Arabidopsis thaliana: one gene and its partner. The protein of the gene in region 1 interacts with the protein of each later gene in a pairwise test. Each region holds a gene or a part of one and is shown in the gene's direction. Other genes may lie near its edges.

Region 1 (6,073 bases):
ATGATCAGTATGATTCTTGTTTCCAAAGTAGGTCATCAAACTTTTTCGGGTTGTGTTGTAGGAGTTCTAGTGCTACTAAGCATATGGAGAATCAGGCAGAAGAGGGGTAGGCGGAGAAGAGCATCAGGGTCGAATCGATTAGCCTAGCATATAGCCGTGTCTGGGGTCCAGTCTTTTTTCTACTGTCATTTACACTGACCACAGAATGTAGTCTCACTTTTACTTGGAAAACTGGCAATTTTGTTTTAGGTAAATCATTTTTAAAATCATCATTCAAAGAGCTAAAATATGTAGGAAGAAATACTAATTTCTAAAAACATTAGCCTCCACTAAAAAAAACAATTTTATTTGAAATGTATCATGCATACCCAAATTAGTGTAAACTTTTTGAAATTCAAATAGGAAGAGGCAGATAATATGGTCCCCAACCTGCCACCACACCAAAACCTAACAATAACGTAAAAAAGGTAAATTAGATTAGCCAATAAGCATATACACTTCCAAACATCAGACCTATCATTCCTCCTCCTTTTTTCTTTATAAGAAATATTTCAATTGTCCTTAGGAATTTGCATTTAGGAAGTCTGCTCTAGCAGCTGAAAATTAATAAATCATGCTAAATTGACTATATAGGCTATAGTGGTCCTCCACTTGGCCAGGTTCTCTGTTTTCATTGGGGTTCGATCCCCATAGTGGGATTATATGCATGGGCTGCTCCACTGGAGCAGAGGAAGAAAATTCATTCTTTGTTTTTTTTTTTTTTTTTTTCATTTCTTCAACATGTTGAAAGAAACGATTGTGGAGAAGATTTATACATCAGTGTTCGACTTCGATGGTTACATTAATGAAAATTAGTTTTGAAAAATGTTAGTAGTCGGATGGACACAACAATACCTAATCTTTATAGACATTGCAGTTTTAAAACTTTACCTTGCGACGACTAAACATGCAATTTGATTAATGATCATATTTCAAGATTTTCAATATATATTCATTTTATTAAACAAAAGTCCATTAGGATAGATGGAATGTTTTCAGTTTCATCAAACTACCATTGATGATTTCAAAAAGTAAATCTTATTTGCAAGTTTTGGAAAATTTTGTTTATTGGTAAATGAATCTCTCCTTTTTCTTGTTACGAAAGTCAATGTTATCTATTTTATTTACTTGCAGATATAATCTGACTTTTGGTGATCATCGTGCACAACCTTTCTGTGTAATTGTCATTTTCAATCATTTAATTTTGAATTAAGTTGCCTTTTTGAAAAAACGTTCATTCTCCAAAACCGATGCACGAATTCCGGGGAGAAGTTTCAATTATGCATCGTTAAAAAAGAATTCAGAATTGTATCACCAAAACTTTGTAACGTTAACGTAAGATTGACTATAGTACTTAATTACTTCTGGTACTACAATGCAAATCCTTTAAGTTAACAATGATAAAATCTTCCAAGTAGAAGAAGTTTTAACAAACTCTACTTTTTAAGTTGCCTGATAATGAGGAATTCGAAAAGCTAAAGAAACTGACTGTTATATAAATAAAAAAAATCAAAGAGAAACTGACTTTTACTAGTCTACAAGATGACAAACATTACAAAACAGTTTCATGTCAAATTTTCAAAATTAAAATATTTTAAAATTAGTGAAAAACGAGCAAAGCAAGGTCAAGCGTCTCTACCTAAAATAAAAACAGAAAGAAAAAAGCAACAAGGAAATTCCAATGGTTAATTTTTGTGTCAGCAATTCGAATAGTTTAAGATAAAGACGACAGTGAAATGACAAAAGACATTGCAGAAAGAGTTAAACGTAAAAAGTTGTAATCATTAAATTATCATAAATATTACGAAAAATGAATGCTAGTACAAGAAAAAACACAACAGAGAATTTATCTCTCCTTCCCTCAAAAGTCTTATATCACACGACTTTAATACACCATCTTCATTAGTCTCTCTCGATATTCTCTAAACATGGAGAAGAGAATGAAGCTCCGGGTTTCAAGAATAGTCCGGTCATCTTTAAGCTCTTGCCGACCACGAGATCTATACGACGTCGTCGAGACTTGTGCTGTTACAAGTAAAGCAACGTCTTCCGAGAGGTTCTTCGTTACCAAAGCCAAAACCAAAACTCCATCACGACCAAAGAGTCATGCTTCTTCTTGCCCTCGTGCGTCACCTATATTCCCACCAAACCCTTTCTACGAAGAGAGCCGTTCATTTCGAGATTTAAGGAAGAAGGTCAAGACAAACAGGAAGCAAAGATCGCAGTTTGGTTCTGACCCTCTCTTTGCCTCACGTTTTAAGTCAACCGGGTCTTGGTACTGGTCTTGTAGTGAGGAAGAAGACGAAGGAGACAAAGAAGAAAGTGAAGATGATGATTCTGATACTCTCTTTTCTTCTAGAAGCTTCTCCTCGGACTCTTCAAAGGCGGAGAGTTTTGCGGTGGTGAAGAAGTCAAAGGATCCATATGAAGATTTCAGGACGTCAATGGTGGAGATGATTGTTGAGAGACAGATATTTGCACCGGCTGAGTTACAACAGCTTCTTCAGTGTTTTTTGTCGTTAAACTCTCGTCAACACCACAAAGTTATTGTCCAAGTGTTCTTAGAAATTTATGCCACCTTGTTCTCTCCCTAATTTCTATATCTACTTTTTAACATCTTTTGCTAAAATGTACTATTTTGAGTCTTGAATCTTGCTTTAGTGGTTGGTTCTTTTTTTCGACTAGATTCTTTTGTTTTCAGATTATCTTTGTCTTAGCCTTTCTCTGTATTTTGATTTTCATGAACCAAATTGAGTTACTTTACAAGAAAACGGTAGGCCTTAAAAACAGACAGCGACATACCATTTAAAGCATTGAACACTTTATCAAGACCTAAAGAATTTTCTGCATATATTGTTGTGTACAGTTTATTAAAAAAAACAATATATAAACTAGACATAGATAAGAAAATTCAAACTTTTTAAATAGATTGAATACACATCATTTTTTTCTCATAGATATATATCATGAGTATCAAAATTAAATTTATTACAAAGAAATATATATTTATATAAGAAATCAATACTGTATCTTATAAATCACAAGTCCCTTTACCAATAGTATTGTGAAATGTGTCCATTCACAAAACAAAATTAATAAGAAAAACAAGTTTCTCTAAAATGTGACGAAACAACGGTTATTTTTTTAAAATAAATCCAAGTTTTTCCACGAGCCATATTTATAGGAGCATGAATTTTAAAAACAAAATAGAAAAATACAGTTATTTGTCTTTTTAAAAAAACTTCTATTGCGACATAACTTCTGTGCAAGATAGTACAGTATTTAATTTTTAGTTGAAAGCTTGACAAAAAAATGTCACATTAGCTTTAATCATATTGGCTAACATTGCCATTCATAGACACAAGATTTTCATTGTTATTAATCTTATAAAACTATTGAAGATAACAAAACATGTTATTCAAACGACTAGCTTTTTTACTAACGCAAAGGAATCGGAAGATTTTTTAGCAACTACCTACTTATTATGCTCTGCTTTAAGTATCCCTACCGAGCAATTGAAAATTTCTAGAAACTAACAAAAAGATCGTCTTCTACGGTTCTACCAATAAAAGAGAAACATCTCAAAAGATGACTTGCGGCTAAAACTTAAAATCTAAAGAGAAAAAGAAAAAAAATCAAACTTGTTCCAACTCAGAAACGGTCTTCTTCAGACTACCACCAGAACCGCCCTTGATACTATCTTCATCATGACTTATGGGTTGGTACCACTTTGCAAATATCAAATAAACCACAAAATCGATAGCTGCTAACGCGGCAATCAGAAAATAAAACCGATCCATATGACCTTCGTTGAGATTTTCCGGTATCCACCCGGGGCTATTCTCACCTCTTTTGGTTATGGCCATAACAATATTAACCATCAAACTGCTCACGTAGTTACCTAAAGCCATCGAAGCCATACACAACGAGCTTCCTAAGTTCTTTAACCCGTCTGGTGCTTGTCCGTTGAAGAACTCTAACTGTCCAACGTACATGAACACCTCACTTGCTCCCACAAGCACGTACTGTGGAATTTGCCATAAAATGGTGAGCTCACTCTCCTTTTGCCCCGGGACTACTCGTTTCAGCCGTTGGATCTCTGTTAATCCTGCAGCTACCATTGCCATTATCCCTATGATCAGCCCTATCCCCATCCGCATAAGTTCCGTGGGTCTCACGTATGGAAATATGATGTGGCGGTAGATTCCTGTTGATACAAAGACGCTGAATATGTCGAAGACCGACATGCTCGCTGCGGGGATGTGGAATTTCCCTACGTATGCATTCATCACATCACCTTGCTCCACAAACAATGACGCCATTTGTGTGAAGATCACTGAGTAGATTATAGTGCATAGCCATATTGGAAGCAACTTCATCACACATTTTGCCTCCTCTACTTGAGTTACACTGCACAACCTCCATGCATTGCTCCTTGTCCCATTCCTGGATACAGTCATACCGAAATTTCATAAGTTAAAAGATGACAACTATATGAAGTATATATTTGGAATAAAACTTGCATGATAACAAAATGAAAACGAATAATATAATGTTGTTTATATATGGTTTACCTATCATTCTCTGTAATCACTGCTGCTCTATCCAAGAAGAGAAATTTGGTACTATGAAATATCTTTCGACTTCCTTTAATGGCGGATTCAGGACCTTCAAGTTCGTACAACTCATGCGGATCTCCTGGTCGAACAACACTCCACTTACGAGCAGTGGCCACAAATACTTGCGCCACACGAGGCAACGGGTTACCACACGGCTTGACATAACGATATTGTCTTGTTGGGGCCAAAAAAGCCACCAATGCGACAATAGCGGAGCCTAGTGACACCAAGAAACCTTCAGTCCACAACCCTTTATCCTCAAAATAAACAAGGATTGTGTTTGAAAAGAGAGCTCCCACGTTGAGAGCAAAGTAGAAGTAGCTGAAAAACGCAGCTTTGGAGTTTTTATCATCATCAAGCTGGTCTGCACCGAAAGTAGCCAGCGTTGGCTGGTGGCCTCCGTATCCAAAAGCTACCAAATATACAGATAGATAAAAGATAGCAACTCCGAGGGAAGAGGGAGGGTTGCATTCAAGGTCCCCATCGCCACATCCTCGAGGTTTAATCAAGAAAAACCAAGAGACAAAAGAGAGGAGGCCAACACCGATAACGAAGATGACTTGGAATATCGTGCAAGTCAAGTAACGACCCCAATAGGAGTCACTAAGAAATGCCCCAACGAGAGAGAACATGTAAACTGTTCCTGTCCACTTGCTTACATTGTTCGCAGCTTCTGCATTACCTTGTCCCATAACACGTGTTAGGAACAACACCAAGTTTACTCCCACACCAAAGAAGGCCAATGTAGCTAACCCTTGATTTACTGTTCAGATAATGATGAATTATGTAAGATTATTTGAACTTATATACAAAATCTTTAATTTTAGTATTAATTATATATCATACCTAGCAAAATGATTGCGTTTGTCCAGCCACCATTCTTCTTCTCCTCTTTCTTCATCATCTTTTTCTGAAGGTCAGAATCGTTGGACATAAGAGACACCACACTTTGATCATCTTGAACCTCTACCACTTCACGAACTTCCAAATTTTCTGCTCTCTCCCGCTCCTTGCAATAATTAATGTCTCATTCAAATTAAATTTCCACAAACTATTACTTATTTATATTCGTTAAAGTCATAAAGGTTTGTTTACATACATTTAGCGGAGCAACGTTGCCATTATTTCTCGGATCCATAGCGGCCATTTTAGGGATCTGTACGAATTTTAGATTGAATTAGGTTTTAGTGAAGAACGTACACGTACGTGTATATATTAACGACTAAACTTGATATAGTATTCATATATGATGCAAGAAGTCTTGTTCTATATGTTTAAGCGTTTTAAGCCTGCCAATTTCCAAATTCATCACTAACAAAAGTAGTAGAAAATCAATAAAAATTGTACTAATTTAAAAGTAGATATGAATATATGGGGTAAGCAAAAATTTGTTCATTTCTAAAACAATTCCATGT
Region 2 (6,085 bases), on another chromosome or scaffold:
GTGGCATCACTGGTTGGACTAATGGTGGTTAAGAAGGTTATAGCCAAGTATGGGAGGGCTTCGATCATTGTGTTTGCAGTTGGTATCGTCATGGCACTTAGCACTGTACTGATGACAACCCATGGAGCTTTTAATGTTTGGAATGATTTTGTCTCTGGTCGCTACATGGGTTTCAAATTACCCTGTTAAGAACCAAAATTAAATAAATCCAGTTCTTGTTTATAACAGAACTTGCTTTTATAAAAATTTACACTTACACTTGATATTTCACACAAACCAAATACCAAAGTTACAAACTAATTACACTTCACACAAACTTTATTTAGTATTCTGCTCGTATCTATAAATCTCTCTTAAGCAATATGAACAACACGTGAGGACTGAACGAAACCATCGACCCGTTTCTTAATCTCATCAGGGTTTGCGCCCACGAGTTTGTCCATCGCATTACCATCCTTCAAGAACAAGAAAGTTGGCATCGCCTTTACCTCTAGTTGACTTGCCACTTCCTGACCAATCCAACATAGTAAAAAACAAAGAAAAACCATTAATCATCTACCAATTTAGCAACTGTTTAAATCTTTTACTCTTGATGGTTAAACACTTCTCTTCAACAAAGAAGCCAAAGTAGAAAGACATATCAAGTAGAGAGACACATAAGTAGTTTTACCTTAACTTCATCAACATCAACTATTAGAAACAGAGCATCCTTATAGTTAAACGCAAGCTCTTCGAAGAAGGAGTTCATAAACACAGAAGGAATACACCATAATGCAGTGAAATGAGCCACAATCTGCAAAAAACCATAAAGGAACAACCGTTCTTGGTAATTCATATAAACAAACAAGACAGAGCCATTCATTCACAATCCTGAACATTAATATTCATGGTTCATTCTCACTAACTTCATATCTTAAAGAGTAACACAATTTGGATTTAACCAATTGTAAATCAAATTCTCCATAAAACTCTAATCCTAAGATCTTGATTCTTTCATAGGTCTTGGATCTAAATCAGATTTCATTTTGGCTACTAGAAAACGAAAGTGATAAGAGGAAGAGAGACTTACGGGACAATTCTGATTCTTGGCTTGACTCACATAGAAATTCCATGACTCTGCAGAATCGATTTTAACAACTCTTGCCATCTCTTGGAGCTTCCTTTTTTTCTAAATCTCAAACAAGATTTGGTGATTCAGTGTTTATCTACTTGCATGATGGGACCGAGTGGACAAAAACTATGTCTGAGTCATACACAAAAAGTGTGGCCAGTTATCTTTCAACGAGTTACGAAATAATTTATTAATTTCTAAGATATTTAAGAATAAGTGTTGACCAAGAAAGCTATATTAAAAAGAGAACCAAAAAGAAAATAGATATTTTTTTTATGACTATATGCAATGTTAATGTTTAGAGGAATTTCATTGGTGGTTTCTAAATATAAGTTTCTTAACATTAAAACAACAAAAATAATATTATTTAATTATGTGGGTTTCTTAAATATTTAGAAATTCTCTCCAAAATTTCTTATATAAAGTATTTTGGAGATGGTTTCTTCATTAATCAAAAAACCCACACATTTTTTTATAATAAAACTTATCTCTCTAAAATAAGAAACTTAAGTTTAGAAACCATTGATGGGGTTTGAATCCCCTTACAAGTCAGAATAATAAGGGGATTGAATTAACTTACATACTGCAGAAAGACCAAATCCTTCAAAATGTAAATATTAGGTTTACACAATGATGCAATCACCTATTTAAAAATTTACATCATTGGTGGTCTAACATTTTTTTTTTTTTTTAATAAGCATTAAGACTAAAAACTCAAGATCTCTTACTCAAGACTAATAATTCTGGAACATGAATCTCTTTCTATGTCTCATGTCCAGAATCTAAAATCTTTTTTTTTTTGTCTCTTCCATAACGCACCTCAGAAGTTGAAATCTTTCTTTTTCTTCTCTTCCTTGCCATGCATTTTCCTCTTCCTACTATTCTGCTACACATGCTCGACGACCATGTCACTCAAGTCCACTGGCTTATTGCGCTATTTCTCCTCTTCTCTTGCCTCCTCATACTGTAAAACATTTCCCATAGCATCCAGCTCTTCTGGCTGTAAACTGAAATCCACTCTATCTGTCTTTTGCCCTCTCAGCAAATCAACCCTTTTGGTTCCCGTCTTGTCCTGAGTACCAGTCTTAATAACGTATGTGTGTGTAGTTCTCAGCAATGTTCCAGGAGCAACAACACTCTCTCCCTTTTCTTCAAGTACCTGGTATAGAGCCCTATCAGGTTCCTTTCTCTGTTCCTTACGAAGTTCAATTGCATCCGGTGTCTCAATACCAGTAGGAGTGCTTGACAGAGATTTTGACACGTCCATTGCATCTACATCGGCCTGAGATGCTTTGTTCTTCTTCTTCCGCTTCCGTCTGCGGCGGCGACGGTCGATCTCACGAGATTTCTTGGGAAGGACGCTATCAACGTGTGCGACGATTGAATGAGCGGTCATATTCGGGTGTTGTTGTGAAAAGAGAGATCTAACATTTATTTGTAAGAGATAAAATATAGGGAAATAAAATTGGTCAATATAGCTAATTTCCAAATTTTTAAGGAAGGAAATCGGAAATCTAAACGTCATGCAAAAAAAGAGGAAAAACAATAAATAATTTTATACGTTTTCCAATAATTTTTTGATTATTTATTTTTGGAAAACAGAGAGACACTTTGTTCAATATATATAAACCCTAAGAACGAAGTGGTGAAGGCAGCAAAGCAAAAATCTCAATTTCAACCTCTTAAGTCTCTCCAAAGTCCCATAAACCCTAAAACAATGTCGAGACGTTTCAATCCGTTAGAAGATCCGCCGAGTGCTTCTTCAAGCGACGAAGAAGGTAAAGAAATCGCACGAAACTCTTCTTCGGATGATGAAGATGACGTTTCCTCTGAAAACCCATCACCTTTGAAGACGACTCTCGACGCCGTTTCCGATTCCGAATCTGGTTCGGATGAAGAAACCGATTCAGACTCTGAACTCGAGAAGAAGAAAGATCAAGTTGTGACGAATCCTGTGGATGTGAAGAGGGCTAAGAAGGTGAAAACCTCCGAGAAATCTGGGGCTAAACGTTCTCTTGAAGTGGATGAAGCAGCAGTGTCTATGGATGTGAAGAGGGCTAAGAAGGTTTCAGGGGAAGAGGAGAAGAAGAAGAGTGGTGGCGGAGGAGAAGAGACGAAGAAAACTTATTTCCAGCGACTTTGGACTGAAGATGATGAGATTGTGGTTTTACAAGGTCTGATTGATGACAAAAAAGATACAGGGGTAAGTAATACGAATAAGGTTTATGAGTTGGTGAAAAAATCTATTAGTTTTGATGTTAGTAAGAATCAGCTTATGGAAAAGCTTAGGGCTTTAAAGAAGAAGTATGAGAACAATCTTGGTAAAGCCAAGGATGGTGTTGAACCTACTTTCGTCAAACCTCATGATCGCAAGGCTTTTGAATTGTCTAAGTTAGTTTGGGGAGGTATTAGAATGGCTCTTGCATCTGGTATGAAATCTAATGAGAAGTCGAAGAAGAGTAGTAAGTTTGAGTCTGTGAAGCATGAACTTGATTCTTCTTTGCCCAACAGTAAAAACAACTGTGAAGATGAGGTGATGGATGAAGGAGAAGTCTCTTTTACAAAGTCTTCTCTTGTTAGATCGATAGTGGGTCTTGGCATGGATGAACTTACTGCTCAACAAGGATTGAGTAAGCTTGCCTCAAAGGATATGAAGAGATTTTACGAGCAGTGGAAAGCGATGCAGGCTAGGGAATTTGAGTTCTTTTTGCAGAAGCATGGTTTTCTTTTTGAAGTGCTATCAAAGATATCTGAAGCATTTGGATCAAACGCTTAGATATATTTATGGTTTTTGTTTTTTTGGTTCTGCCTCTTTTGTTTAGAACTCTTGGCTTTTTTATATTATATTTTAGTTTTCTATTGATTCTTGAAAGAGTTTATTTTGGAATATTGCGGATTTATCAAAATGGAAGGAAGCTTTTTTGAAGCAATTTAAGTTTATTTACAGATGAAACATTTTGTGTATCTTGATGAAGAAGACGTGTTATGCGCGGCTTCTATTTGCTAGATTTTCTTGTTGCGCATTCTCTTTGTCTTCTTTTTTAGCAGCAATTGCTGAAACATAATATGCTGAAGTCACCACTCCATGTCCTAGACAAAATATGCCTCCAATAAGAAAAAACCAACGATGTGGCAAGCTGCAGAGTCGATTCGTTCTCGAGTTGGCTAATGTTCCTATCATTAGCGTTGAGTAGCTGACAACAAAAAAGATCCTAAGACAAACAAAGGTATGTCAAAAACAAAAACAGCTGACATAATTCAAATTTGTCTTTTGAATGAAATCCAAAAACCTATTATCTTTTCCATTACCAGGAGAGAACAAGGAAAGCCACAGCGAGTATCTTGTTCGCCGTTGCTCTTTTGAAATCTTGCTTAGAGCGAATGTAAGTGCAGCCTCCAAGCACATTAGCTAGGACATGGACAATAAACAGAAGCACCATTGCAGCTACTCCCTCAGCAAATGCTCCATCGCTGGGGCTTCTTCGACATCCAGAACCTGAATGTCTTGAATGTTGTTGATGATGATGATGAGGTGCCTGAAGGATAAACATCAAATACAAGAAAAGATTATTGGTAGTTAAAATAAAATAAACTACATTTCACTCTTAATATAAAACAGAACCTTGCTTTGAGCAATCTCGGCTTCGATCCCGAGGACTGTAGCTGTAATGTCTGCACATATGATCACAACAGAAACCAAGAACCCAAGTTCACTTTCCATTTTTCCTTGATTCATAATAAAAACCTTATATTTTTATTTGATTACTGTATTTATTTCAATTGTTCTATGAAAGTTTAAGGAAGAGGAAAATAATAAGGAAACAGCATCAGATTACTTTCCTAAGCTTGCCTCTCACTGCAAGACAAAAGAATACAGATTCGGTTTTGGTCTTTCCAAGTAAGTAAAGTTTCATTCCTTTTCTATATAATGACATTAGTTTGGATGCTTTTCTTGTAAACTGGATATAGTAGTAAATAATTCTACTACAAAGATATAATTTCATATTGAATTAAGAGGTTGATCACATGTTTGACTTTTTTACTTTAAAAATGTCAAAGCTCAATAGAGGCAGCATGTGGCGTTATACTCTGTTTTGGAACGTGAAGAGAGGTGAAAATTATTATTCCCATATCTTTTTTTCTTTCTGTAATCATATTATGCTAAAAATTATTATAATTTTCCAGGTTGTAATTGGAAAAGAATCATACAGGGTTAAGATTTGATCATTTTTTTTTAACATAAACGTCAAATTTTAGTTGTAATTTTCTATTTCTAAAAAAGATTTTTTAGTTTGTTCTTTCATGGTGTGACATGATATCATACGTTTATGGAAATCTTCAGTCTCATTTTGGAAACAGTTTGTGTAGATATGGTGAAGCAGGAACAAACAGAAACAGAGCTGTGTCCGAATCAAAGCCAAATCTTCATAGAATATCTTTATAATTCACATCTCTCCCAGTGAATCCAAAGACGGATCTTGAACAAACATGCGTGGGGTTTGGCTTTATCTCAAGAAGTCTCTTAGCTGCTGCAAGGCACAGAAGTCAACTGTAGCTTGTGATCCAGACAAGATCCAAATTCAGAAGAAGGAGAATCCATCTGGATGCTCAAGAAGATCAATGTCGAATCTGAGAGATGTCTTTGTAACTAATGGAGATGAAGGAGCTATGCAGAATGTAAGCTGCTGCAGCTCACGGTCTCTTGAGAGCTCCAGGTTTGTAAACACAGTGAAATTTGAGGAGAATGCAGGTTATTCAGACAGATTCAAAGGTTTGCTTAGCGGAGCATCTTCTTCTGATTTACTTCCCGGTCGTTGTTCAGAGAGATTTGATGTTGTTGGCTCTGACATCTGCGGTTTCGGAGTTCTTGCTTGTCAAAAATGTCATGAGAGAGTCAGAGATCTTGACGCGTTTGAAGCACATTACCTCTCTAACCACTCTGGTAAGACTTGAATTAGATGAACTTTTTCATTG

What was found. The genes of interacting proteins can lie anywhere in the genome.
Region 2: the proteins of OFP8 (region 1) and AT1G11510 interact in binary tests that used the Arabidopsis thaliana proteins (3 or more experiments, as listed by UniProt).

Annotation. Positions count from the first base shown.
Region 1 is NC_003076.8:6,636,192-6,642,264, reverse strand, and holds OFP8 (ovate family protein 8), read left to right. Parts: upstream 1-1,856; 5' UTR 1,857-1,967; coding exon 1,968-2,633; 3' UTR 2,634-2,810; downstream 2,811-6,073. Other genes in the region: S1P (SITE-1 protease), read left to right, coding at 62-147; AT5G19640 (Major facilitator superfamily protein), read right to left, coding at 3,675-4,485, 4,614-5,421, 5,505-5,667, 5,758-5,805. UniProt on the Arabidopsis thaliana protein: Transcriptional repressor that regulates multiple aspects of plant growth and development through the regulation of BEL1-LIKE (BLH) and KNOX TALE (KNAT) homeodomain transcription factors.
Region 2 is NC_003070.9:3,869,580-3,875,664, reverse strand, and holds AT1G11510 (DNA-binding storekeeper protein-related transcriptional regulator), read left to right. Parts: upstream 1-2,735; 5' UTR 2,736-2,828; coding exon 2,829-3,887; 3' UTR 3,888-3,942; downstream 3,943-6,085. Other genes in the region: AT1G11540 (Sulfite exporter TauE/SafE family protein), read left to right, coding at 1-189; CXXS1 (C-terminal cysteine residue is changed to a serine 1), read right to left, coding at 354-509, 671-793, 1,070-1,147; AT1G11520 (pliceosome associated protein-like protein), read right to left, coding at 2,046-2,636; AT1G11500 (transmembrane protein, putative (DUF1218)), read right to left, coding at 4,095-4,323, 4,421-4,647, 4,734-4,847; AT1G11490 (zinc finger (C2H2 type) family protein), read left to right, coding at 5,600-6,053.